Danio rerio: one gene and its partner. The protein of the gene in region 2 interacts with the protein of the main gene of each other region in a pairwise test. Links are inferred from orthologs where the notes say so. Each region holds a gene or a part of one and is shown on either strand. Other genes may lie near its edges. The genes, in order: rbm41 and RNA-binding Raly-like protein.

Region 1 (9,678 bases), on a different chromosome or scaffold from region 2:
TGTGACTACTTTTACATGGACATCAGAGATCTATTGATTTGCCTTAATCTGAATAAGACAATAATATGATTCAGGTGTTTACATGAGCTGCTTTTTGAACGTCATGATTCCCAGTTACATTTTACAGCACATAGATCCATCAACGTCATTGTGTCGCTGTCACCAGCTTATAAATGTTTCCTCCGCAGTTTGTGTCTGTGGTCCTTTAAGATATTAAAAAAAATCACTGTTAACGTGGTAGACTCTTGATCAGAGTAGTGTCTTAATCATATTAAAATCTGAGTATTGGTGTCCATGTAAACGTACTCGGATAATGTGTCAGATGATGTCACAAGCTGTCAGAGATGGTCCATTCCTCAATTTTAAGTTGATTCCATGAGCACTCACATTTTATACGTTTGACGTGTTTCTCTCTTACACGCAACTTTTGTAACATCTGTTGCATGTTGGTGTGTCAGAATCCTTGCTTGTAAAATATAGCCATACTGTAGAATGCTAAGTTTAAGCAAATTAGATGAACGCGATCTTGCGTGTTGATGAAGTGAGTCACTCGCCGCATGCGCTGTACTGCGCGCTTTGCCTTCTATAGGCTACGATAACAAACGCCTGACATCGCTGACATCCGTATCCCTCAAAGCTGTTTAGAATTAAACATTTAGAAATGGTGTAACACAACGCTTACTCACGTGTGTCTTTAATGCACCCCTTTATGCTTCTTAAGCGCGTCACACAGCGGATGCGCCGCTCAGAGCCGCAGCACGCAGCGCACATGACAGATGATAGTGTCACACACCAGACGTGCACATTCACATGTTATTTAAAATGAAAATAGTCAGATGGCGCTCTGAGGCATGGCAGAAATAAGAACAGTCAAGAGTCGTGGCTGGATGCCGTGGACAGCCGCTGACTTGCGGATTCTAAAATGCATGGCGCTGCGCGTCGCCAAGCGGCGCTTCCGGTGCGCGACCTGCTTTAAGTTCTTGTTCCAGCACCGAAATTAGGCACCGAAATTCATATGCTGACTTGACCCGGTGCATACCGGTTCCAAAGGTACCGAGTTTTGGTACCCAACCCTAGTCAGAATATCTGCCAATGTTTTCACTCATTCATAGGAAGTAAATGACTAAATGTTTGGACCTTGACACAATTTGTTTTAGTCTGAAACAGAAATAGCTAGAGCTGAAGAATATCTTTTACCTGTTTTTTTTTTTATATTATTCAATAAAGGATATAAAAACTTATAAAATTAACATTTTTATAGGGAAATGTTATATTGAAATAAATATAATTTTCACAATATTCAACAACATCCCTATTTTTTCAGCATCGTGCAGCCATAAAATGAACAGACTTTTTTGTTAATATTTTTGAGCTAAACATTAAAAGGTTAACGAACAGTTTTTTCAGCTCATTTTTGTCAATATTAGTAGAGAACACTGTAAAAGTAAAGCTACTTGGCATTACTATAGTGTGTTTCACCTTGATGGTAAAGGGCAGTGAGGAAGCTGGAGCGGTCGCTGCCTTGAAAAAGAGCTTTCTCGATTTCCATCTCTCTGCGGGACAGCGCTCGACTGCTTGAGAAGCGCTGGGGTCGGGACAGCAGCTCCGCATGAGCTGCCATTTTATCCCGGATGGCCTGCAGACGCTCATTCCTCGCCTCAGGGGCCACACAAACCCCTCTGTCCTGAGAAAAACAAGAAAGCGGGTCCAAGTTATTAAAGTTAAAGAAAACTAGGAGTTTAAGCAATGATGAACTAAATAGCTGAATATTTCTTTCGGGCTTCACAAATAAATGACAATGTTTTTAAAATGTTCCACTTTCAGATGGATCTGCAAACAGCCTGCATACAACCTACAAACACATGCGCTACTGTAATCTGAACATTGTTGATTTGGTTGTAAAGAACTTGTGTGTTGCTTCAGAGATAATGATTGAATAGTTTTGCAAAAACATTCACTTTGAAAATGTTTTCAAAAAGTCTGCATTTTCGAGAGTGGTCTGGATGCAGTGCTTTTTAATGGACTCGCCTAATCCTACTTCTCACAGTGACGTGACTGGCTCAATTAAGTGCATTGTGTCAGACATTGCATCACTGAGAATTCTGCGATTTACAGTGTGACTATGAAAGATATTTCCAAAGGAAATAATTTTATAATAATCATAAAATTTTTTAAGTTTTTTAAGTCCTGTAACATGTCTTAAAAACATAAATAAGACAAAAAATAATAAAAATCACCTAGTAAATGTGTAACAAATTGTCTCTACGCCATAAAGTGCCGTCAAACTCAAACCTTGTCATTAAGCTCAGTCTCCTGTTCTAATGCTCCTGTTCTAGTCCTGCTGCGTTATGATTGCTTCAAATAGCACACTGTGAGAGAAGTATCAGTCAGGAGCATGCATTGATACAATTCCAAAATAATCTCACAGCCCTACTCTTCATTATAAAGTTAAACCTGGATACAGTTGAAGTCAGAATTATTAGCCCTTCCTGTTTAACCGAGTTGTTTTTTTCCTCAATTCCTGTTTAACCGAGATATTTTTTTCAACACATTTTTAAACATAATAGTTTTAATAACTCATTTCTGATAACTGATTTATTTTATCTTTGCCATCTTTTGCCATTTTTTGTTTTTTTATCTTCAAAATGTTAAAAACTGCTTTTATTTTAGCAGTTCTAAAACAAATAACACTTTCTCCAAAAGAAAAAATACTATCAGACATACTGTGAAAATGTCCTTGCTCTGTTAAACATCATTTGGGAAATATTTAAAAATGAAATAAATAAATTAATAAGTAAAACACAAAGGGGTTTTAATAATTCTGATTTTAAATGTATAACATGCACCTATAATTAAACCATCACTACAAAATATTTTCTTTTCTTTTTTTTTTTTTTGAAGTTTGCATTTTCAGGATCCATAATGCTGTGGTGGTGTAAATGAAATTTTTTTTTTTTCTGTTTCAATTTCACAACAGTGTTGTGTTAAGACTCCTAATGCTATTATAACTCTATTTAACTTGAAAAAGCATAAATGTCAGCTAAAAAATAAAATAACAATTTAATGTAACTGCCAACAAAATATTGCTCTTTTTTTGGTTATAAATTATAAATAAATATGACAAAACACAGCAAAAGTACTAAAAATTACAATTAAACTTTCCATTTAAACTTTTTCATTATTTTGTTTTTCAAAAGTTTGTATTTTCAGTCACCCAAAACTAACATAACAGGTTAAAAACATTGTGTGTATTAATAAATGCCCCTCATGTTCCTTAAAACAAAATAGATATTCACTGAAACAAATGAACATTAAAAAAATACATTTTATTTCAAAATTAAATACAATTTTTTTAAAATCATATAGATATTTTTTTTAATATTAACAAAAAATATATATAAATTTTAAATATTTTTATTTAGAAATAATTAAATAAATGAATCATTTTTTATATTTATGAATATAAAATAAAAATATAAAATATATATATATATAAATAAAAATAAATAATAAATGATTAATTTAGAAAATAATTTTAAAAAGCAGCTAAATTAATAAAAATATAGGATTAAAAAGAAAACATAAGATAATAATATTTCTGTAATTAAAAACTGATGATAATGATACCAAAATAATGTTACAATGATACTAAACTAACACTGTCTGAATCATTCTCTGACCAACAGCTACCATTCTTCATGTCAGATTTCTGGAAATGTAAAATCCCTCTGTTTAGGACACTTCATGATAAGGGTAATAGCTAAAGCAGACCTTGAGGGAGCTCTCCGGCTGCTCCCTGCTCCTCCACAGCAGTATTTCAGCATCAGTTAGGCCCAGTTCTCTGAGAGCCGCCAGCTCCTGATCTCCGTCCTGCAGGGCCTGAAACTGAGACAGACTCCTCACACCAGCGGCCTGTTCCCCAAACGGCTTGTACACCGCAGCTGGAGCAAAGCATTTCTTCTTAGCCACACACCTATGACAAATAAACAGGTGAATATTAATGTCCATGACCTATAATGAACAGAAAAAACAGGCAAATGTTGTGCTTTGAATAATATTAAAATGTTTTAGCTTGAATTTCTTTTTACAGAAAGTTAATAGCAAATATGAGGACAAGATTGCAGAGGGAGTATCTCAACAATCTGAGATACTCCCTCTGCCATATTTGATAGCTTGATAGTAGTTTAACAAACTTTACATTTTTTCTGTTGTCTATTTTCAACACCCAGGATTTGAAATGGTAATTTTGAAGCAAAAGCTTGTAAATGTATATTATCCTGGCATGTTAACCTTAAAGGAACACTAAACTATTTTTGAAAATAAGCTCATTTTACCCCTAAGCAAGTCCCCTACAGTTAAACAGTTGAGTTTTACCATTTTTTATCCAATCAGCCGATTGCCATGTCTGTTGGGAGCACTTTTAGCTTAGCTTAGCTTAGCATAAATCATACCAGGTTAGACCATTAGCATCTCAATCAAAAATGCAAAAAAAAAAAAGATGCTAATGGTCTAATCTGACTTAATGATTTATGCTAAGCTAAGCTAAATGTGCTCCAGCCAGACCTGGAAATCCACTGAATTTATTAAAAAATGTTAAAACTCAAAATTAATGTGAAATCTACCTAATTTGCAAGTAAAGTCGAATTAAAAGTGACAGATTTTTATTTATTTTTTTACAAAATTCTCTACTGAAATAGCAAAAGTAAAAAAAAAGTCAACAGATTTTGTCTGGCCCAGTTTATCAGGAACTAACCGGTCAATGTCAACATCTGTGTCCAGTTGTTGCAGCAGCAGATTGTGCAGTTGTCTCTGGCCTTCTGTCTCCTGTTCTTCAGGGATGGGCACATCATCACAGGCATGGCGAGTAACCCTATAAATAATTACAAAATCATTTTTGAGTTCTTTAAACTCCTCAGCCCAAATGCTTGTTTTATGTTCATAATTCTAAATATTTTTTAAGCATAAAGACAGCACATCAGTGAGTCTAGGAGACAAATTAAACTATATTTATTTTAATTACACTTTTAATGGTTTAGCGTTACAATTTTCCTCTTACTCCAATTATTGCACTCCAGTGTTCATGAAGTATATTGTATGAACAGTTGAAAAAAAAAACGGAATGCTAAATAAACTTATTTAATTAAATATAACAAATTCAAGATAAAACAATCTATTCTGTTTGCTGTCACTGATAAAAAGTTATGTTCATTTTACATTGTTATGATAGTTTTCAAAATTGGCAGATAATACTGCAAACAGCCAAAATTAAACTTATTAAAACATAAATATTAAATAAAAACTGCATAGTATGTCATTTAATGAGAATGTCAAAATAAATCTGCATTGTTTTTTTAAATTAGAAATCTAATTACTTATTACGATCACTTCCTATTTTGCTAATTTCATCACATTCCTGTGTCTTAGTCTCTTTAATCATCAGGGGTTGCCACAGCGGAATAAACCGCCAACTTATGCAGTATATTTTACTGCCATTCCAGCTGCAACCCAGTACTGGGAAACACCTATACACCTCATTCTCTCTCTCTCACACACACACACACACTACGGACAATTTAGCTTATTCAATTCAACTATGGCGTATATATTTGGACTCTGAGGGAAACTGAAGCACCCGGAAGAAAACAACGCAAACTTGAGGAGAACATGCAAACTCCACACAGAAATGCGACTGACCAGGTCGGAACTGGAACCAGCGACCTTCTTGCTGTGTGGCGACAGTGCTAAGCACTGAGCCACCGTGTCGCTTTCTAATTGATCTTTTTTTGTGTAAACGAATAAACATACTTCATTATACCAACTACGGATTATTACATTATTCACATATTTTATCCCTATTGTAATTTTTAGGTCAATTTGGGCCAAAGTATGTGTCAAATCATTTAATAAAAATAGTTAAATAAATATGAAAGAATAGTTATACGTTCCTTTCATTACAACAAATTAAAATGTTTAACTGTTACACAAACTTCTCACATTCAGAACACAAGACAAGACAAGCCAGCAAGTAGAGGTTACATCGTCACTCAGGTCAAAAAAAGATATACAATAACGATAAACTAAATAAAACAATGATTTATGATCAACATTAAAACGTGTCGTACGTTTAATTAACTACCACTCAACCTATCGACCAATGTGTGTTATCATCATCAATAAGTCTTAACGGCTGTAATCGACTAGACCTTAGTGATGGGATTTTTCAAATCAGAGTTCATTGAAAGTCAATGTTTTGGTTTGACAAGTTTTGTTACTGGCTTCAGACCGAAACTAAAAACAAAAAATACCGTTTAGTCCTCTTCCTTACCGCTTCATGTTTACACTTTCCCTCTATTTCCCGTTCCGACAGGAAAGAAGCTGTGGCGGAGAGGATTTTGGGAAATGTAGTTTTAACTCAAAGACTCTCATTCGCGGTGCTCTGCAAATGCCTATCTTTGTAAAAAAAAAAAAAAACCTTAACAGTATTTTCATCCTTCTTTTATTCAAATGTATTGAACTAAACTAAACTATTAAAATGTGCTAAACAGTTTAATTAATAAATAAATAAAATAAAAAAACGAGTTTAGGACTAATTGATTTTTATTTGTGTACTTTCAATTTACACAGTTTATCCAACAAAAGGAAACCATTACTAAACCAATTTATTTAAAAGGGATTTGTTTTTGTTTATTACTCAAAAAAGCAAAAACAAGCAAACACAAAAAACAGTGTAAAATCTTGCGTTGATTCAGAAAGCGAGCACTATGATGGCAGCTGTTGTGATATTGACATTGCAGCCACAAAAATATTAACATGATCACTCATTTATAGCCCTTACAGTCCTGGTGAAAATAAACGCGTATATGTCCCAGCTTCATATTTCCCGTTACACAAATACTTCCAGTTAAGTGGAAAGAAAAGACCATGGGAAATGTGTTTCAGAACAACTGAACATCACAGTCTATAGAAGCAGATTCATTCAAGCCTTTATCCTAAATTATAACTGTATACATTCATGACCCTCCACCTGAATGTCGGATAAGTCAACCATCCAATCTTCAGGGTATGATTGCTGAAAGTTGGCTTTGTAAGTAAGCCGTAATGGTGCGACAAATATATTTACTGCGTAGTTTGTATAGTAACCCTTTACATTGCAATATGCTACATTGTAACTTGCGTACTGTTGGTGAATCCTTGCCTTCCTATCAGCTGAAAAGTTTTGCTGCCACTCACCAAACTCTTCTCGACTATTCTCTATAAACTGAAGACATATTTCTATGTGAAATATATATTTTATATACCAGCAGTTTTTGAAATACTCATCCTGCATTAACAACAATGCCCTCAAAGTCTCTTTATTCATCTTTCTTCGTCTTCAGATGCTCAGTTTGAACTTCTGCAGATTGTCTTGACCACGTGCCTTAACGCATTGAGTTGCTGCCCTGTGATTTGGACAGTTTATGTAATAAACAGCTATTTAATTTTGTTTCTATTTTTTCTCAAGGTTTTCCATGTTTCATTTTAATTATTGCTTCATTCAGTAAACACTTTAAACTAGTCAAAATAAAAGTGTTATTTGTTAAAATGTATGATTATGTTCTAACAGTATTTGTACTTTTATTTGGGAATAAATGCCATCAGTTTGCAGAACAAAACAAAAGTTTTTTTTACACAAACACAACGAACGCCACTTGGTCAAAATAACAAAAGGGATATATTCAGACATGTTTATAGACTATTTATGTTAACACATTGATGTTTTTTGCTACTTAAAAGTAAATATATATATATATATATATATATATATATATATATATATATATATATATATATATATATATATATATATATATATATATATATTAGGTAGAATAACCCTGCCTCTCAGTAACAAAAAAAAAAACAAAAAAAAGATGAATTGCCATTTTATGGGGGAAAATGCTCCAAAAAAAAAACAAAAAAAAAACGATATTTTTACCCAAACACATACCTACGAAATCCAATTTATTTCCGATACAGGGTTCCACACTATTCATTCAGGTTATCCCAACACAAATAGATTAAGTCAACTAAACATTTAAGTGGATTGAACATAAAACGATCAAGTTGTCCCACATAAAATCTCAAAAATTGTGTTGTTTTAGCTCATTTTAAATACGTAGTTCGAACAAGCAGCAATATATATATATATATATATATATATATATATATATATATATATATATATATATATATATATATATATATATATATATAAAACTGTACTACAAATGCTGAATAATGCAATATGAACAAACACACTAAGAACAATAAATAAAATACGTCTTTTTTGTCTGCTTTTGCTCAAATTAGGGGTAATTTTATCTCCAAAAACTAGTCATTCTCATATAAGGCATCATCACCTCTGTAACACATGCAAAAAAGGACCAAAAAAAGTCGAGCAACTTCGAACATCCGGTGCAACTTGACGTCATTAGGCGAGGTGACAAAGTGATGATGATGATGTTTCTGAACTTCTATTATTGTGGTGGCGCGCTGACACACACACACACACACACACACACTTGCAGCGGCTGTGATTGACACAGTGAAGGGGTGGGGACGCAGGGTGGGGTCAGCAGCAGGGAGAGGCGGAGGAGAGACTCACAGCTCGAGCCCAACCCTGAAACACGGCAACAAACACACACCGAAAGACGAACGGGGCGACGGAAAGAGGGCTTGTTTCTCGACGCCAGGGATATGATTTCTGTGAACCTCCGAGCCAACGAGCGCACATTTCTTCTCTAATACTGAGGCGGATAATACTGACTGTTATTCAAATCTCACCCCGCCCGAGCCGACCGACCCCCCCTCCACTCCACCCCTTCACCGCCGCTTAGATACCGAGATGCACACGGAGACTCGGAACAAAAAAGTAAGTCTGTTTATCGTTTGCAATCGACACATTTGCAGCATAGCTTTGGCCGGCTGTGGTTGTTCGCTTTCTGTTCTGCAGGACTCCTCCGGAGTTCCTCATCTGTGAGCAGTTACCCGGTTTCGGTTTGCTCTGCCGTTAACCGTAATGAGCCGATAATATCATCTGAGCGATTCCCGTGCATGCGCCTCTGAGCCCGTGCTTAACTTATCCGCGAACCTGACACGTTGACTCGGGCGCATTTAAAACAGCTGTGCAAAGTGTTAAAGTCAGATAGGGAGAGATTGAGCGACTCGTCTGTCAGAGCCGTCGAGGGTCTGCAGTGCCGTTTTAAAGCGGTGAAGGCAGGAAGGAAGCGCGCCGAATGCAGCTCGCCGGAGAGACACCATCTTAGCTGCTTTCTTAAAGGGGCCGCAGCCTTTATTCTTATGGGGTGATGAGGACATTCTGTTATGCTTGTTGGTCCTCTCAGTTCTGTGTTTTGTATTCCGTGGCTTTCGCTGTTATAAAGAGATGTCAGTGTTTTGGCTAATAATGTCAGGCTCCAGCTAATACCACGCAGGTTACAGCAGTAGACTGTAAGTTATACATAAAACTGTCATGAACATCCCATGATGTCAAGTGAGAAAGGGAGGGGGTGCATTAGTGTAAGTGGTTTGTTTGTTTGTTTGTTTGTTTTTGTTGCACATACACATGTATTGGAACGTCAGGGTCATCATATTGACACGTCTCCTCCTGTAGTACCCTTGAATGTATCTGCAGGGTCA
Region 2 (9,731 bases):
CCCATGAAACCAGAAATGTTTATTTTGGAAATCACTTGTGAAAATATTGATTGCCACAGGAGCACTCGTAAACTTATCGATGCAAGTATACTCCAAGCAGAGCACCTAATAGCTTTGTACTAAAGGAAAATGGAAAGGCCATTTATTGTACAGTGGATCATAATACATCCTTCTGTTTAACAATAGAAAAGATTTCATACATGTTAAAAGGCAAACTCACAGTTTTTTTGAGAAAACATGAACACCCGTTTTATTTCTTATTTCAAATTCATTCATTTTCTTTTCAGCTTCGTCCCTTTATTAATCTGGGGTCACCACAGCAGAATGAACCGCCAACTTGTCCTGCATATGTTTTATGCAGCAGATGCCCTTTCAGCTATAACCCATCTCTGGGAAACATCTATACACACTTATTCACTACGGACAAGTAAGCCTACCCAATTCACCTATACCACATGTCTTTGGACTGTAGGGGAAACTGGAGCACCCAGAGGAAACCCATGCAACGCAGGAAGAACATGCAAACTCCTTACAGAAATGCCAACTGACCCAGCCGATGCCTAAATCAGCGACCTTCTTGCTGTGAGGCGACAGCACTACCTATTTTGCCACTGCATTGCTCAAATTTCAGCAATTTATTAAATGAAACAGGAAACGACAAAATAAACTGATCTACATAGTCTCCCTTTTTCCAAAAACGTATTTAAACAAGCCGTTGTCATATTGATGATCTACTGATGACCAACAATTTCTACCTATTTTTTCTAGAATAATTTGTTACGAATTTAAACAACCTGTGCCCTCCCTTCTTTTGACCCTCTTTTTTAAGTTTTGTATGTTTTTTATTATTATTGCTGTTGTTTTTGTCCTATAAATTTAAAACAAAGATGTAAATATGATAGCGATGTTATATTGTCATTTTTTATTACATCTCAATAAAAATAATATATACATACATACATACATACATACATACATACATACATACATATATATATATATATATATATAAATATATACACACACACACACACACACACACACACACACACACACACACACACACATATATATATGCAACTACTTAATCCAATAAAAATTATGAAAACAACTATCTATTAAAAGTCTAAAAATATACACATATCCAACGTTTCATCAATATCATGATAACCAGAAAATAAAAACCAGAAGTGAAAGTGATATTTGCATGAGCAGGTGATTCTGTTTTTATCAGAGAAGAGAGCAGAAGCAGCAGCAGATGTTCACTGGCCCAAAGGGAGAGCAATTTTTACTTTCATAAATAAATGATGCATGTGACTCCTACATACCGGCCAGCGGGACTCAGATACGGCTTCATTTCCCCAGAGAGAGCAGGACCAATGGGAAGCATCAGGACTTCTTGGCTTTGTGGGATTTTGTCATGGTTTACTCTGCGGACATTCAATTCTCCTGCATTATTTGAAGAGCTTCTGGCTGGTTTTGCGGATGAACAGATTATTCAGCTCACTTTCTGCAGCCCTCGGTCACTGCTGGCATGTTCTCTACACAGGCATTGAGCAGAAAAATGCAGGTTATGGAGCTGCCCAAAAATATCAACAGAAAAATTACAGAAAAACTAGAGTAAAGAACAGAATGTAGTTCCAGTCATCAGTCTACTAGCACAAAGGTTAAAATTATTAAACTGGAAACAGAACATTGCTCCTACATATATACATCTAATGAGGGATGTAATCAGACATATGAAACTGGAGAAAATCAATCAGATTCTCCTTTAAAAAGAAAGAAAAATTCTATAAAATCTGGCAACCTTTTCATAGATTATCTTTAAAACATAAATGCTACAGGTAATAGTTAAATTAAAGAGGATTAGGCTAATTAAGATTAAAACTGAATGTCAGTATTTATCTGTATTTCATTTTCTTAGTATTATTTTATTAATTACTTAGTTATCTTTAATTATTTTACTTTATGTATTGTTTGTATATTGTATCTTTTCTATTGTTAATTGTTATGTAAATGTTATATTAAAATAAAATTAAGTGCATTTAGAATCAGGATTATCTGTCAAGGTTTATAATGAATGTGTGTAAAATAAGTTTCATGTATCATATAAAGTATTATTTTACTCTCAGAAAATGCAATTGCTGTTGTGTAGTTTTTATTAATAGTTTGTTCATGTATTTATTTACTGTTTACGTTTTGTAATAAAAAATAAAAATCAGTCAGAGTTTTAAAGCAGACTAAATGAAATGAAAATATGTCTCTGGCAACTAGCTAAAATATTTATTTGGTTTTGTATGCTTTATTAATGAGCTGTTCCTCCTGATAAAACATTTTTACTCTAAATTTAAAACCTCTATTTTATTAAACACTCAAATTGTTATTTTATTTAGAGCAACTTTAAATATACATCAACAAGATTATTCTTTCAAAACAGATAAAACGTTTTACTTAAATTATATATTAATACTAAACAGCAGCACTGATAATTAATAAAACTACTTTTATTTATGAAAATTAAAATAAACGTTATTGAGGAGTTTCTACTGATACAATATTTTACTCTAAAACATCTTATTTATTAAACACTCACATTTTTAGTTTTTTATATGTATATATATATATATATATATATATATATATATATATATATATATATATATATATATATATTTTTTTTTTTTTTTTTTTTTTTTTTTTATACCCCTTATTTTAATTATTATACCCCTGAATTATTAGCCCAATGTTTTTCCACAATTTCTATCAAACGAAGAGAAGATTTATTTCAACACATTTCTAAACATGATCGTTTTTATCTTAAATAACCAATTTATTTTATCTTTGCCATGATGACAGTAAATAATATTTTACTAGATATTTTTAAGAAATTTCTGTACAGCTTAAAGTGACATTTAAAGGCTTAACTAGGCTAATTATTAGGTTAATTAGGCAAGTTTGGATAATTAGGCAAGTTTTTGTATAACGATTCAGTAGACTATCCGGGGGGGAAATTAATATAAAGGGGCTAATGATATTGACCTTAAAATGTTTTTTTTTTATTATTATTAAAAACTGCTTTTATTCTAGTCGAAACAAAACAAAGAATACTTTCTCCAGAAGAAAAAAAATATTATCAGACATGCAGTGAAAATGACCTTGCTCTGACAAACATCATTAGAAAAATATTTTAAAAGAAAATAAATTCAAAGCGGGGGGCGAATAATTCTGACTTCAACTGTATATATAAAAATTACAATACTTTCAAAAGAAATTACAAGTTATACATATGTATTACACAAAACAAAATATACAATAACACTTAAAAGCAGCATTAACAATAAATAAAACTATTTTTATTTATGACATTATTTCTTTTTTTATATTATTTTTTAAAACTTCCTGATCAAATATTTTACTCAAAAACATCTTATTTATTAAACACTCACATTTTAATTTATTTATAGCAAATTCTAATATACATTTAAAAAGATGGCACTTTCAAAAGAAATAAAAAAAAGTTTAACATAAAATACTTAACCGGAGCATAAAACTACTTTTATTCATGATTATTGAAATAACGTTGTATCCTAGTTACCGAATCTTTATACTGAACTTGATTAATAAATTACATTTTCTTTCTTTTAATAAATATATATATTTTTTAATCAATTAATTTAAAATTGTGTGTATACTGCATACTATGACAAAAAACAAGTTGTATAATAACAGAAAATTGTTAGCCATGTAGAAAAACACAATAATGAATGCTTACATCATACAACTTTATTCATTGATTTATTTTGTATAGCAATAACGAAATACAATTTATATTTACATTTTTTTTTCATATTTCGTTCATTTTCATAGATCCAATTCAATCATATTGCACTTTAGTAGCAAATCTTCCCTTCTCCTACATTATTCTTTATATTAAGACATAATGCTGGGGTAATGTTATACAAATTTTAAAATATAGATTTACGCTATATAAAGCGTTTGAGAAGTCATACATTTTATTTGCCAATTTCTATCTTTCCGGTCTTTTTTCTTCATAGGAACAGTGCATTTGCATTGAAACTGTAGTGTTGACTATAAAACACTGTGACCACTTTAACCTCATGACATGCTCAAAATAAAACCAAGACAACAAAATGGCATTTTTCACCTTCCTCACTATCTTTCTTTGGTCGCTGACTCGTTCAGCTCAAGGTAACTTCTCATCTCTTAGCAGAATTACTTTTAATGTTCAGTACTTTTTAATAATATATCTTAATAAATAATTTCTTTAACAGACTCCAGTCTTCCTCAAGCAAAAGTGACTCAAAGCCCTTCAGAGAAGACTATTGAAGCAGGGCAATCAGTTACATTAACATGTAGCTCTAATCTTGTTGTTGGTAAATGGTGCAATGATACATACTGTCTTAGCTGGTACCTCATAAAAGCTGGAGAAGCTCCCAAACTCCTCATCTATCAAGGAAATCTCCGGCATTCCTCTGCTCCATCCCGGTTTAGTGGAAATGGGTCCGTTAGAAGTTTCCAGCTGACCATAAGTGGAGCACGAGGTGAAGATTCAGGGCTTTATTTTTGCTTCGGTGACTATGGTGGCTTTAGATTCACACAGTGAAATAGAGCCGTACAAAAACCAGCTGTGACAGAAAGTGAACCAGGTCAATAACAACACACTACTACACACATCAGTGGAGATTAAGAGAAGCAAAACAATAACAGAAAGCTGGACTAAGTTTTCTTTCAAACAACATAAAACAATGCCTAGAACATATTTGAATCATAATTTATAGTGTCTTAGTGTATACAAATATAATACACTTAAACATGCCTTAAAGGGACTTTGGTGTTTACTAGTGATTTTAACCATACTGTAAACTTCACATATTATTTACAACTCTTTATTGAATGTTATAATTAAACCCCATGATGAACAGTAATAAATAGTGTAGATTCTACTACCATTAAAATGTGGTTTATTGTAGTATTAAATATAACTGTCAGGATAGTTTGTTTATATTAGCCTAACAGTTACTGGTTGTTTTAGTACCACAGCTAATTAACGTTACCACAACAGATTACTTCAAAATACTTTACTTTTTGTGGTTCAAACACACTGTAGTATTTACAATAAATCACTATAGTATTTTTTCACAAGGGTTGAAAGCTGTTTGGGAGGATAACAATGCATTACAAAGCAAAAAAACACGAAGTGTGCTGGAATACTGAACAAATTGATATATCAATGATTTAAATACAGGCGAGTCTATTAATTATCTACCTCCAGCCGTTACTTACCTCATGTAGTTGACATTGCCGATTCAGTTTATTGTCATTTTCCCGCTGTGCACAATGTTTTTTACTCTTCAACATTGTCGTGTTAGTTTGTCGCCATCGAATATTTGAAACATAACGTGCGTTTTTTCACTGCGGCGTCGTGACGCAAACCGTAGCCTCGCACTATGTCAGCTGTGTTTAAAAATTAGAGGTGTCCAAACTCGTTCCTGGATGGCCAATGTCCAGCAAAGTTTAGTTCGAACCCTAATCAGACACACCTGGGGCTGTTTCATAAAAGTCGTTTAGAATAGCGGGGATTAAAGTCAAAAGCCTGACTTCAATGAGCCGAACTAAATGTCCACTCCACTCTTAAATTGGTTCCATAACAGCAAGTTGAAGATCATTTGATCTGACTAGTCTGAGTTCAGTTTAATCTATCTAGATCAGGGGTTCCCAAACTTTTCAGCCCGCGACCCCAAAAATAATCATATCAGTGGCTCGCGACCCCCATTTTTCAAGGTGGTGTAAATATGTAAACGTTGCAGACACAACTATAGGCAAATACAGGGCCGGAGTGGGACACCTTTTCAGCTCTGGAATTTCAAGCCTCAGACCGGCCCACCTCAGTTCACGACTGACTGTATTAAAATAAGTAAATAAATAAATATTTCCAAATCAGTTTCTAATGACACTATCACTTCTTTTTTTTTTTTTTGAGAAAACAGCTGCTTTAGAACTTCAAATGTTCAACAATCATTATATGTCTTATCAATAAAAATGAAAACACTAAATCACTCTAACGAGAATCGAACCCAGGTCCGCAGCGTTTAAATCTAACGTACTATCCGCTCGACCACAACTACTGTTTTATGGATGATGACACAACTGAGTTTTATTATCCTTGAAATAGATCAAAAGAGAAGAGTTGCGGTATAATAATGAATAAAAAGGCTGTGGTCAAGTAAATAAATAAATTTAAAAAGTGTGATTGCTGAGAGCAACAGATTCTAGAGCTAGGGACACCGGCCCTCGCGGCCAAAAAACGGACCGGCCCACCGGGAATTCTCCCGGTCCTCCCGATTAGCCAATCCGGGCCTGGGCAAATATAAACATGAGCTTATTGACAACACAAAAATGCAACAGTCTATTAGCCATATAATGTTTTTTAAAGTCATTTATGGATTTAATTACATTTTGCTTTTAAAATTAAAGGCTGATGGCTAAATGTTTTTTTATGTTGTTGTTTCTTGAATGCAACTATTAACTATATTCTGTCGTTTATGAATAAAATATGGTAATTCTGATAGTTTAATAAAATTTATTTTAGTTTTGGATATCACCAAGCGACCCCTTGTCATTGTCCCGCGACCCCCCAGGGGGTCCCGACCCCCACTTTGAGAACCACTGATCTAGATAACTGCTCACGCACGTTACTGCACGTAGCCAGCCTGGTGAAAGGAGATCTTTTTTTCTCAAAAAGTGGACCTTTTTGCAGTTATACGCCTCAGTTTCTGTTTAAATACTGCATTTTAGTGAATATTTATTAATTAATTAATTTATTTATTTCTTTTTGCTGGATTAACTAGTCAGATCTCATCATAACTACACTTTTGATGTACTAAAAATATTTCCAAAAAATTGCAATAAACATTTAAAACAAGTCTAATTTTTAAAATACAAATTTATTACATCATATATCATTAGAAAAGAATAGCAATCTGTTGAAGTTTTAAAGTAAAAAATGTGTAGCCTACTATCAAACACACCTGAATCAGCTTCTCAGAACATTAATAGAGACTTGAAAACCTGAAATGAATGGGTCAGATAAGGGAGATGTTCAAAATATGTCCTGTTGGTGTGCCTCCAGGAACAGGGTTGGGAAACACTGCTGTAAAATATCATCAATAAGATGATTAAATCTGACAAAATGAGTTACAGAAATAACAGAGTCATTCATTTCATAGCCTTTATTGAGTTTTAAATGCTCATGCCAATCTGTGTTTCCCAGAGAAATGCACATTTTAATACATTACAGAATAAAAACATATCCAAAACCACATAGTTGGTTAGCTGTTTGACTAAGCAGGCTTACATGATTTTGAATAAAATGAGTGTGTTTGATACTATTCTCAATTAAACACTGGTAAATAGTAACATTAATATTAAGGCAATACATTCCTGTTAATGTTTCTTGCAAAACACTTAAACTGTATATTAAGACATTCTTGTGATAGCTGACATGGAGACTGCAGAGAAAATGACAATCATATTGATTATTAAACGGGCATAACAATATCAGTTAAAGCAATTTCTTTTGTAATATACATTTGGAAGAAAGCATTTTGGGAAAACTATATACTCTCCAAAAACTGTACAGCCTAGCTGACTCTTCAGTCCAATCCTGACATTCATTCATTCACAGCCCTGAAGAACAGCCCTTCCAGCCACAACCCATCCCTGGGAAACATTCACACACACTCATTCACACTCATACACTGGGGTCAATTTAGCCTACCCAATTCTCCTGTACAGCATGTCTTTGCAGGAAACCCACGTGAACGCAGGGAGGACATGCAAACTCCACACAGAAACGCCAACTGAGCCGAGGCTCGAACCAGCGACCTTCTTGCTGTGAGGTGACAGCACTACCTACTGCACCGCCTCCAATCCTGACATATTACTGCAAATTTTATACTTCCCTCAGGACAGAAACATTATCTACACAAGTAAAACAGTGTAAATGCTAGTGCTTAGCTAGCATAATGCTAGCTTTAAACATGTTTAGCAGGTTATCTGAATAACAACACACTGGGGGTTTTCTGATATCGTTTGCATTGAGTACAGAGGTTGTTTAATGCCACAATAAGGGAAAAAAGCTAATTAATATTACTTTCATAGCAATTCGTAATTAAATATTTGAAGAAAAATTTTTGGTAAAAACTTGTATAACCTTATTTACATGTATTCGCAAGATATACTGACTTTACGGCTAGGTTTGACTAGGGATGAACAATCAGAATATTTCATAGTACAAGAAACTCATTCATTCATTCAATCATTTATTTTCTTTTCGGCTTAATCCACAGTGGAATGAACCGCCAACTTATCCAGCATATGTTTTACGCAGCAGATGCCCTTCCAGCTGCAACCAAGTACTGGAAAACATCCATACACACTCAATCACACTTATACACTATGGCCAATTTTAGCCGACCCAATTCACCTGTACCGCATGTCTTTGGACTGTGGGGGAAACCGGAGCACTCGGAGGAAACCCACTGGAACGCAGGGAGAACATGCAAACTCCACACAGAAATGCCAACTGACCCATCCAAGTTTCCCTTACAGTCCAAACACATGCACTATAGGTCAATTGGCAGTAGTGTATGTGTGTGAATGAGTGTGTATGGATGTTTCCCAGTACTTGGTTGCAGCTGGAAGGGCATCTGCTGTGTATGCTGGATAAGTTGGTGGTTCATTCCGCTGTGACGACCCCTGATGAGCAAAGGGACTAAGCCGAAGAAAATGAATGAATGAATGAGCAATATAATGCCTCTTCATTTACTGCTACAAACTGATAAAGGCCAGGTGCCAATGCAATCCCACTAATGCCAACACAATTCTTGAGCCTATACCCAAAATAATTTTGTGATCTAAAATAATAAAAAGAGAACTAATTGTAGCTTTAATGAGTGGCATAATGATCTAAAACCTGAATTCCTAACAGTACCATTCTGTTTCAGGAACAAAACATACTGTAGTTGCAAGTATATACAACTTTTTGACAGAAAATCATAAATGAAAACGGTCTGTGGTTAACAAAATCTCTAAAATGAAGTTTGAGATTTAATAACAGCCAGCTTTATCAGTGTTTTGGCACATATCCTAAAAGCAATGATGAATTGACAGAAGTCAGAGGAGAACGGCCAGACTGGCTTATAGACTCAAATAACCACTCGTTACAACCGAGGTATGCAGAAGAGCATCTCTGAACGCACAACATGACCAACCTTGAGGCGGATGGGCTAAAGCAGCAGAAGACCACACCGGGTGCCACTTCTGTCAGCTAAGAACAGGAAACTGAGGCTACAATTCGCACAGGCTCATCAAAACTGGACAATAGAAGATTGGATAAACGTTGCCTGGGCTGATGAGTCAGGTTTCTGCTGCGACATTCGGATGGTAGGGTCTGAATTTGGCGTCAACAACATGAAAGCATGAATCCATCCTGCTTTGTATCAACGGTTCAGGCTGGTGGTGGTGGTGTAATGGTGTGAGGGATATTTTCTTGGCACACTTTGGGCCCATTAGTGCTAACTGAGCATTATGTCAACACCACAGCCTGCCTGAGTACTGTTGCTGACCATCTCCATCCCTTTATGACCACAGTGTACCCATTTCCTGATGGCTACTTCCAGCAGGATAACTCGCCATGTCATAAAGCGTGA

The links.
Region 1: the proteins of RNA-binding Raly-like protein (region 2) and rbm41 interact in binary tests that used the Homo sapiens proteins (3 or more experiments, as listed by UniProt). The two-hybrid records come from large-scale screens. The link is inferred for Danio rerio from reciprocal best matches to the Homo sapiens genes RALYL and RBM41.

What each region holds. Positions count from the first base shown.
Region 1 is NC_133196.1:41,327,879-41,337,556, forward strand, and holds the start of rbm41 (RNA-binding protein 41), read right to left. Parts: upstream 6,375-9,678; 5' UTR 6,334-6,374; coding exon 6,326-6,333; exon of another isoform or gene 6,306-6,325; intron 4,872-6,305; exon of another isoform or gene 4,871-4,871; coding exon 4,754-4,870; intron 3,974-4,753; coding exon 3,772-3,973; exon of another isoform or gene 3,701-3,771; coding exon of another isoform or gene 3,661-3,700; intron 1,732-3,660; coding exon of another isoform or gene 1,685-1,731; coding exon 1,480-1,684; intron 1-1,479. Other genes in the region: klf8 (Krueppel-like factor 8), read left to right, coding at 8,885-8,911. UniProt on the Homo sapiens protein: May bind RNA.
Region 2 is NC_133199.1:37,375,210-37,384,940, forward strand, and holds the start of RNA-binding Raly-like protein, read right to left. Parts: upstream 5,458-9,731; 5' UTR 5,305-5,457; intron 4,647-5,304; 5' UTR 4,433-4,646; intron 1,542-4,432; 5' UTR 1,329-1,541; intron 1-1,328.